2 linked regions of the Coturnix japonica genome follow. The protein of the gene in region 1 interacts with the protein of each later gene in a pairwise test. Links are inferred from orthologs where the notes say so. Each region holds a gene or a part of one and is shown on either strand. Other genes may lie near its edges.

Region 1 (4,193 bases):
CATCTTCTGAAAACAGAAGAAAGCAAAGGTACAAAATAAATAGAAATTCACCGGAGGCTGGAGCCAAGGTGCGTATATGCGTTCAGTTTTGAGAATGCAGTTTTACACAACATTCATTTTCGCTCCAAGTGCATGAATAGAAGCCTACCTGCACATTAGCTTACTTAACCAGAGAATAACAAAAACTTCTGTTAGAGACTTAAAACTGCCAGGTGGTATCAGGTGCAGACTGAAAGGACAGTCAGTAAGAGTGCACTAAGTTCTACTTGTCTAAGACCAAGATTTTAGTCATGAGTACCCAATCTTTGACTTTTTACTCCTTGATGAGACTGCAGATGACATAAACCACACAGAAATGGGCATTACAGTGACTGACCTCCCTGGGAGGTCACTTTCCATACACCAAGCACATAAGCAAAGCATGGTACTGCTGTACATGCCAAAGTAAAAACAGATGCTTCTTACCCCATATTCCCAATCACCCTTTACAAAAGATTTTTTAAAAGTGATCCAAAGCACTATTTTCTCTTAAGTATATTCATGCCATGAACTGCCATCAGAGAGCAGTGTAGATCTCAGATAGTAAGTCCATGCATCACATTCAGCCCTCACCATGAACCTGTAGTTTCAATCACACTAGAACACAGGAGGCCTGCACCTAGAGGAACACATTTTTGTTTCAGTCAGTTGTGCCAAACACCCTCTCATCACACTGAGGAAGGAGCTGAGTAGGCCCTGCAGCACTAAGATGGATGCGTGGGAGAGTTCTGCCTCACTATACAAGTATCTGAAACCCAAAAAGGATGGTTTTCATGATGTATGTGTCCACACAACTAATTAAACACGGAATTTAAATTAAACTCTTATTTAAGCCTCAGCTTATGAACACACTTAGACCTGTACACCTGTGCCTGTTACACCTGTAGCTACAAAACACCTCCCTGCTGAGAGCTTTATAACCATTCTCTAGCATTTCATTAAACTTTTCTTGTGTGGTGCTATTTGTGCATGTATACATACACGTATAACGCACACAGTTAATTACCTAATTAACATCTGGAGCTCTGAGTCACCAATTTCACTTTTTCAGAGGAATAAAGGAACGGTGACCGACCCATGTGCGTTTTCCAGCCAATCAAAAAAAGACAAATCACTCCTCAGGCAAATCAGGAGTCTCAACTTAAGCTTACCTGGACTTGGATCTTTGCCAGCATTTTTAAATCACTTTCCTAAATGTTCTAAAAAGCCCCCAGAAACATCTCTGAGCTTTACAGTCAATGCAGGGCAGGAAAGTGTGGTATGAATTCATAACAAAATTAACCCTGCACGCTTTGGTAGGAGAAAGATTGGCAAGTGTAGCTCTTTGGAAATAGTATTCAAATTCAAAGCTCATGGGTGGAGACGGGGAGTGCAAAGGTGCATAAATAGGCAGGAGGGAGCGTGGTGCTCTCACTGTGACCAGGAACACCTTCGCACCCCAGCAGGCACCTGGCTGAGCACACACGGTAAGGCAGCGCTCACTCTTCGGAACTACCTGCGTAACACTGGGCTAATTGGGGCTACAGCCATGGGAAGGAGAGGCAGCAGTGTGGGCACAGCACAGCTCCTAGCCATTAGGATACACAGATATGTTGTCTTTGCAAGTTAGAAGGCGTAGGAAAAAAGGGGGGCTTTATGGAGCAGAAAACTAAGCAGAAGTGCACACAGCCTTCCAAAGGGGAAGTTTTCAAAGAGGAGGTTTAGTGTTTCTGTCTTGGCTTTCTGCACCAGTAACAGTGTAAACTTTGCATTCCTATAAACCTTTGACTTCCTGGTCATCCAATACCTTTTCTTTTTTTCTTCCTCTTTTCAGTAAGCATTACTTCCTCTACACAGCTACAGCCAAAACAACACAAGGTAGCCTTGAAAATCCATGATATGTAATGTAAACTTATTCAATTCTTTCCCTTTCCAAGGGGACTTTTCCTGGGACAGATAGTCTCCTGCAAAATCCTATTTCATTCGCTTGAAATCTACTCTGTGGTTGCTTAGAGGTCTGTTGGACACCTTGCAGTTAAGAGCATTGTTTCACTGATGCAGATTCAGCTAATGCCTCCTCCTGCACTTCTTACCCAGAGAAAAGATTCTGTTTTTCCTCAGACTTCTCATTTTCATTGTATTTTAAAAGCTGTCTGTTTAAATGTTTTTTGCATGAATGTTCTGAATTTTCTGTATTGGTTTTGGAATTCCTTACGACTTCCTACCGTACTCAATATACTGCTATTTCAGTTTTAGGAATAAGCTTAATGAGAAAAATATAGGGTCATGCAAAGGATTTTCCCCCTTCAAAGCATCACAGCTGAAATGCTGAGCAGCTTCCATCAGTCATGCCTCATCTCCACCCCCATGCCTTAGTCAGGTGCAGGACAAGCAGTTTGCTTTGTGCTGCTTATAATGGCAAAATGCACTTTAGTTCTCACTGCTCCCCACTCATTCTATTGTAGATTCGACTGCTTTTCAGGATTAGATGATGCTAATGAGAAAGGACAGGATGTAAAGTTTCAATAGCAGCTTTCGGCTGTGTCTGTGTAATGCATTACTGTCAAACCCAGCTTAGACTTCTACATCTCATTTGAGTTGCTCTTGCTGCAAAACAGATGAAGAGCCCACACAAGTTAATTTGTCAACACCCATGCTGTTAAACTGCCCAGTTACTTTATCAGTGGGAGATCCAGAGAGAAATGGGAGTTGATTAGGACTTAGAATTACTATTGAAATCGATAAAACTCTGTTGTTTCACTGAGCAAACTCAATATATGTAAAAGGAACAAAGAGAAACTTAACACAGGTGCACATCTTAATAAGACCACAGGTCAGTGGCACCAACACAGCAGAAAGCAGCCAAATCCTTCATGACCCTTAGCTAAGCAAAGCTTAGCAAACCTCTCCCTTCCCTTACACTCCCCCAAGCCTCCACCTGGAGCAGGCAGCTGACTCACCCAGCTGCATACCTGACCACGGCGGTGCCTCGGGCTGCACCTCAGAACCAGCAGCAGGGAGGGACAGAGAAATGAAGGCTCTCTTCCTCATCCCAGGGGCAGCCATGGAGAAGAGCTACGTGTCCGTGTTCCTGCTGCTCGTGGCCATCTCCTGTGTTCTGGCAAAAGATATAGGCAAGAAGGAGACGAAGGAGACTAAACCAAAACTGCCTCAAACACTCTCCAGAGGTAAAAATATATATAGATAGATAGATAGATACCACAGGTCCCACTTGTATGTATGTGACGTTTTCCTACCCTCTCCTTTCCCTGCAGGCTGGGGGGACCAGCTCATCTGGACTCAGACGTACGAGGAAGCTCTATTCCGCTCAAAGAACAGGTAGGGCAACCCCTCGCTGCAGCACTCCCTACCGGCCACCCCGCACACCACCCCGCTAACCAGGCTCCTTCCTCTCCCCCAGCAACAAGCCCCTGATGATTATCCACCACCTGGATGACTGCCCACACAGCCAAGGTGAGGCTTCTGTGCACAAAAGGGAAAAAGAAAAGGAGACACGCTTTGTACCACCACGCTCGCTCTTTACCACAGAACAAAACGGAGTTAATCATCCATCAGTGCAATGGAGAGAGCGATTTTTATTAGCTGTAACTGTGAACTTCATATTCTCACATATCAATTTGTTTAAATTTTCTTCTCTAGGGCAATATTACATGCTTTCTTTTTTAATTATCATTGCTCATTGCTTTCATTCTAGCACTCAAGAAGGTCTTTGCTGAACATAAGGAAATACAGAAACTGGCTGAAAAATTCATTCTCCTGAACCTTGTGGTGAGTGTCCCTTTCACACTTCAGGTGAAAGCAATAAAGTTTTACTTATGATTATGGCTCTTCTAGCTCTAAGTAGACACTTTTATAGCAGGGATTGGCGAGGAAAAACGCTCAGTGCTGGAGCATAATAGATTTAGTAATAAAGCTCTTACATCTCCAGCTCCCATAACTACTAAATAGGAAGGTATTTAAATTTTAATGTATTGCTGCCATTAACTGTTATCATCAGTTCCCAACTCTAGCAGCTTAAAGGTTGTATCCCAGGCAGTGGATTTCTGGAATGGTTAACATATTGCTTAGCTTGCATTAATTACCCTGAGCATAAAGAAGAAAACATCCATGTTACATGCTGTCTTGCAATCTTGACCTGGAATCACATCTGCTTT
Region 2 (4,173 bases), on another chromosome or scaffold:
ATTGATATTCTGATTATAGAAAATAGTTTTGGCTGCCTTTGGTTACTCAGGTAAGACTTCCCACAAGTAACATTTTAGTCTTCAGATTTTAACTGGATTATTTTTTAGAGGTAAAACACTAAATGTAAAGTTGTGTTTTCATTAGGGCTGGATAATCACAGCTTAGGAGTTGCTGTGAGGAGATTTAAAAAACAAACAAACAAACAAACAAAACAGTATATGTAGAAAAAATTGTCTTTCTTTTAATAGGATTTTGATTCCAGTGCTGTTTTGGCTAAAGTGTTTACTCCTTTTTGAAGATTCTCTTGGCTTCAACTCCTTCGTACACATAGGTCTGTTCAGAAATTAAGAAGAAAAATCAGTCATTGCTAACATATAAAATTTCGTTGCACAGGTGTTGTGATAAAGGTGGTTTAATTAATTGTGTCGAGTGGCCATTTGGGGCTTAAAAGCCCATGGAAGGGCTCTGAGGAAAGGAACAGAAGGAAAGCAAGCAACCTGTTGTCAGTAGGCCTAAATTCTCTATGGAAACATTTGAACTACCACTGGACAGTTCTTGGAGCTTTCAAATAAAAACACAAAACAAATAATAACACAAAACCAACAAAAAACCACTCCCAAAATGTTGAAATGCCATATTCCCAAGTGTCACCTTTGTGCCTGTGTTTATTAGAAATGTGAGAAAGAGTTGGCCCCTTGTGTTCTTATATCTCAGATCTCACACCTGTTCATGGGAGGGTTATTTATTTAAGAAGTTTGTGACCAGCTGGTCACAGAGCTATGGAAGGTTTCTCTTTTGTCTCTAGCTTCCTGCTGTGTCAGCTGCTGAGCACCTTATCCTTGGGAAAACTCCTGTACTTTGTCTTTAGAAGGCAAAAAAAAATGGGGCCTTCAGGGAGAATGTGTATAGTATGTATGTGGCTTCTACATACAGCTTGTATTCACAGACTTCACAATGTGTTGATAAGATACAGCTCACACAGGTAGGAAATCACACGTTGCCAGTTTTATGTTCCAAATTACAAAGTTCTAAATTTTAATACTTTTACTAGACTTGAGGATTTAATCTGAAGATAACTGGGGCTATTTGGTTTTGAGCAAAGTACACTGGACTTTCAAGGTATCTCTGAGAATGTTTTCAGTTCATTGTATTCTTAAATTGTGTATAAGCAACTGCTCAACTCACCTGTACAAGTTCACTGCCTACAATTTCTCTGTACGCTGTGAGTGCTTTTCCATTATCTTTTCTAGTAAACGTTCCTACGAGTTTATTTCCTTCCAGGTTCCAAGAACCCTGTGATGGGGAAAAAGAAACAACACAAATGTTTTGCAATAAATACGGCACTGATTTGATTTAAAGGCTGCAGGAGTGAGATTAAAACAGTGTAATAATGATTTTTAGGACTCAATTGGAAAGGCTGTAAAAAAAATGAAATATTAAAGAAGAAGTCAGCTTATTCAGTTGCTCTTTTGTCAGGCTCAGGTGATCCTTTTATCTGTTGATATGGTTAATTTCTTACAGATACCCGCACTACATTCTAGGTGGTGTACTTGACTATTATAAGAAGTAAAGTTTGCAATTGCCTGGATTTCAGCATATGGAAATTGCTGGATACTCTGTTTTTTGAGCACTGAATGGATCCCTGTGCTTCCTGTCACAATGCTGAACCATTAACATTTAGGGCTGATTTGTGACTTTATATATAAGGTGCGAGCATTCCTGAACTGCCTGACCTTAAAAGCCAAGTTTAAACTAGAACCTAGGAAAACAAGTCATTAATCCTGAAACTGTACTTTGTAAAGTTATTGCTATCCAATGAATACACATTGATATCAAAAGTCTCTTACTGAAAGTTCAGTCCCATCAGCCAGACTGTATTCAAAGCTGACTCCCAGAGTGAATTCAATGTCGATGGTACGGAAGTTGCTCGATTCCTTGACAAGAAATTTGTTTCCATCTTGCTGAATAGTGAGCTTCAGATTATCGTGGGCTCCTAACTTTCTTTTCATCATGTTAACACCTAAAAAAATTAATTAGCATCAATCAGAGAAAAATAAAATAGAACGTCATATTAGCATTTATATCATGACATTTTCTGTAGTTGAGGGAGCTCAGCCCAGGATTCTGACTCAGGGTCCTACTCTTCTCCACCTTTCACCAAGGCAGTGTTCAGCAGCATGTAATACAAACCAATATCCAACTAGGATGCTTATGTTTATATCCATATTACAGGCAGTTTGTGCAAGCTTAAAGTAAGCACTGGCATGTTAATATATCTCAAATCATGTGTGTTCTGCAAAACTGGAGACCAGCAATTTCCTTCTTGTGTAATTTTTCAAACAGTCTTATGAAAATATTATTCCTTACATATAATTCTATTTAAAGTTTACCATTCAAATTCTCTGAGCCTTTTCCACAAATGTAGATGTAGAGATTCTACTAAAGTACCTCTACTGGAGTTAGCTGAATGCATACGATTATCACAACGCAAATAAAATCAGAGTATTTTTCTACCTTGCATTCCCCTCTGTAGAGTCTTTTGAAAATAAATGCAGGGCAGTGTGCAAGGGCACAGCAGCAGACAACGAAAGACAGGTCAGCCAGATGGGAGTTCCTGAGCAGCTTAAGTTTGTATTCCACCATAGTGGTATCCTGCTTTTAAAAGGCATTCAAAAAGTAAGGCTTACCCATTGCTTCCATGAATTTTTCATAGTTTTCATTTTTCTCAATTTTCCAAGTTCCATTAAATGCCATCTTTCTGTCCGTAGGCAGACTTTTGGTAAGTAGCAGAGCTTTGCAAAGAGAATTTATGTACTGGCTTATCAGGAAAGCAATTTACATGATGATGTGGCTGGCTAAAGCTCAACCATGGCATTGATCTTGTCAAGGAGGGGGTCACTGTAGTTTAACTTTTTCACTGGTAAGCACACTGTTGAATCTCTCCCTCCCTTATTGCCTCAAATAATGATAGTATCTTTATTGCTCTTCTTTATAAACAGTCACTAACCCATTCATTGTGTTCATCTTATTTGAGTTGTAGTAAAAAACTGTCTATCTAGTGAAAGTAATAATTAGACTGGGAGAATGTATTGACATTTTCTTTGTTGCATAGGACTTTATGCTGGTGGGACAGTCTTTGTGCAACTGGAGAAAATGTATTTACCCAGCAAAACAAATACAAATCTCCATTCTAATTTGGGGAGAATCTATTTGACTCCATGTAATAAGCATGAGATGAATGATCCATTGAATGCCCACAGGTGGTTTCAAAAACTTGCTTCAGTTTCAGAAACAATTTGCTCCTTTCTAGTCTAGTGCTGAGCTATAATCTCTACTCATATCATCACTCTTTAATAGGTAGTTTAAATTCAGGGCACTTTCTGTGTATTCTCTATACTATAGCCTGTTCAGTGAATGCTCTGTTACTGTCCATTCCTACAGTAGTTGACGTGCCGCTAAGTGAATTTTATCCAACATGGTTGATTTCCGTAGATCCCAGGTTTTAAGTATTGAAGGATAGATAATGCAGAAAATGAGCGCACGCTGGCTTAGCTCTTTCTTCCCCATAAGATAGTGCTGTTTGAAACTGAGCAAGTTTTCTGGTACTAAATCTGTTTGTACCGAATTCAGGATTATAGTTAGCCTGTTCCTATGGATGGCACTAGATCTGCTGCCTCTTAGCTTCAAAACATAAATGTAAATCTGAATGCTGAAATGAATTTTGCTCATCACACAGTTAACAGGGTTGTGCTCTAACGAATTTTACTAGTGTGGTGTTATCATAATCTTCTTTTTCTTCCAGATCCGCAGCAAAATGTTTTACTGAAGTGTAACCATAAATTTAGAATTTTGCTAGTGATACCAAAATGATGTGGCTTTCCATTCCACACAGGTTCACTTTGAAATCAATGCTAATCTGGCTTACAGGATGCAGGGGGAAGTAACTCAATGGCTACTCCTCACCTTTAGGCTGTACAGAAGTTAAGGGAAGAGGAAAAGAAAACAACATAGATTATTGTTACAAACAAAGTTGAAGTAGTTGCACTCAAAATGGGCTGCTACTGACCATGCACCAGAGTTCATTTGTTTTCCAGACCTTTTGGTCTCCCAGAAGATTGAATGTGGTACAAACTGGTCTGTTTAGTTGCAAACACCTCCTGTTCTGCCTATAC

Evidence for each region. The genes of interacting proteins can lie anywhere in the genome.
Region 2: the proteins of AGR2 (region 1) and FABP2 interact in binary tests that used the Homo sapiens proteins (3 or more experiments, as listed by UniProt). The two-hybrid records come from large-scale screens. The link is inferred for Coturnix japonica from reciprocal best matches to the Homo sapiens genes AGR2 and FABP2.

What each region holds. Positions count from the first base shown.
Region 1 is NC_029517.1:26,217,315-26,221,507, reverse strand, and holds the start of AGR2 (anterior gradient protein 2 homolog), read left to right. Parts: upstream 1-1,393; 5' UTR 1,394-1,505; intron 1,506-3,074; 5' UTR 3,075-3,082; coding exon 3,083-3,206; intron 3,207-3,293; coding exon 3,294-3,357; intron 3,358-3,439; coding exon 3,440-3,492; intron 3,493-3,733; coding exon 3,734-3,807; intron 3,808-4,193. UniProt on the Homo sapiens protein: Required for MUC2 post-transcriptional synthesis and secretion. May play a role in the production of mucus by intestinal cells. Proto-oncogene that may play a role in cell migration, cell differentiation and cell growth. Promotes cell adhesion.
Region 2 is NC_029519.1:48,992,599-48,996,771, reverse strand, and holds the start of FABP2 (fatty acid-binding protein, intestinal), read right to left. Parts: upstream 2,801-4,173; 5' UTR 2,756-2,800; coding exon 2,689-2,755; intron 2,022-2,688; coding exon 1,849-2,021; intron 1,295-1,848; coding exon 1,187-1,294; intron 335-1,186; coding exon 284-334; 3' UTR 1-283. UniProt on the Homo sapiens protein: FABPs are thought to play a role in the intracellular transport of long-chain fatty acids and their acyl-CoA esters. FABP2 is probably involved in triglyceride-rich lipoprotein synthesis.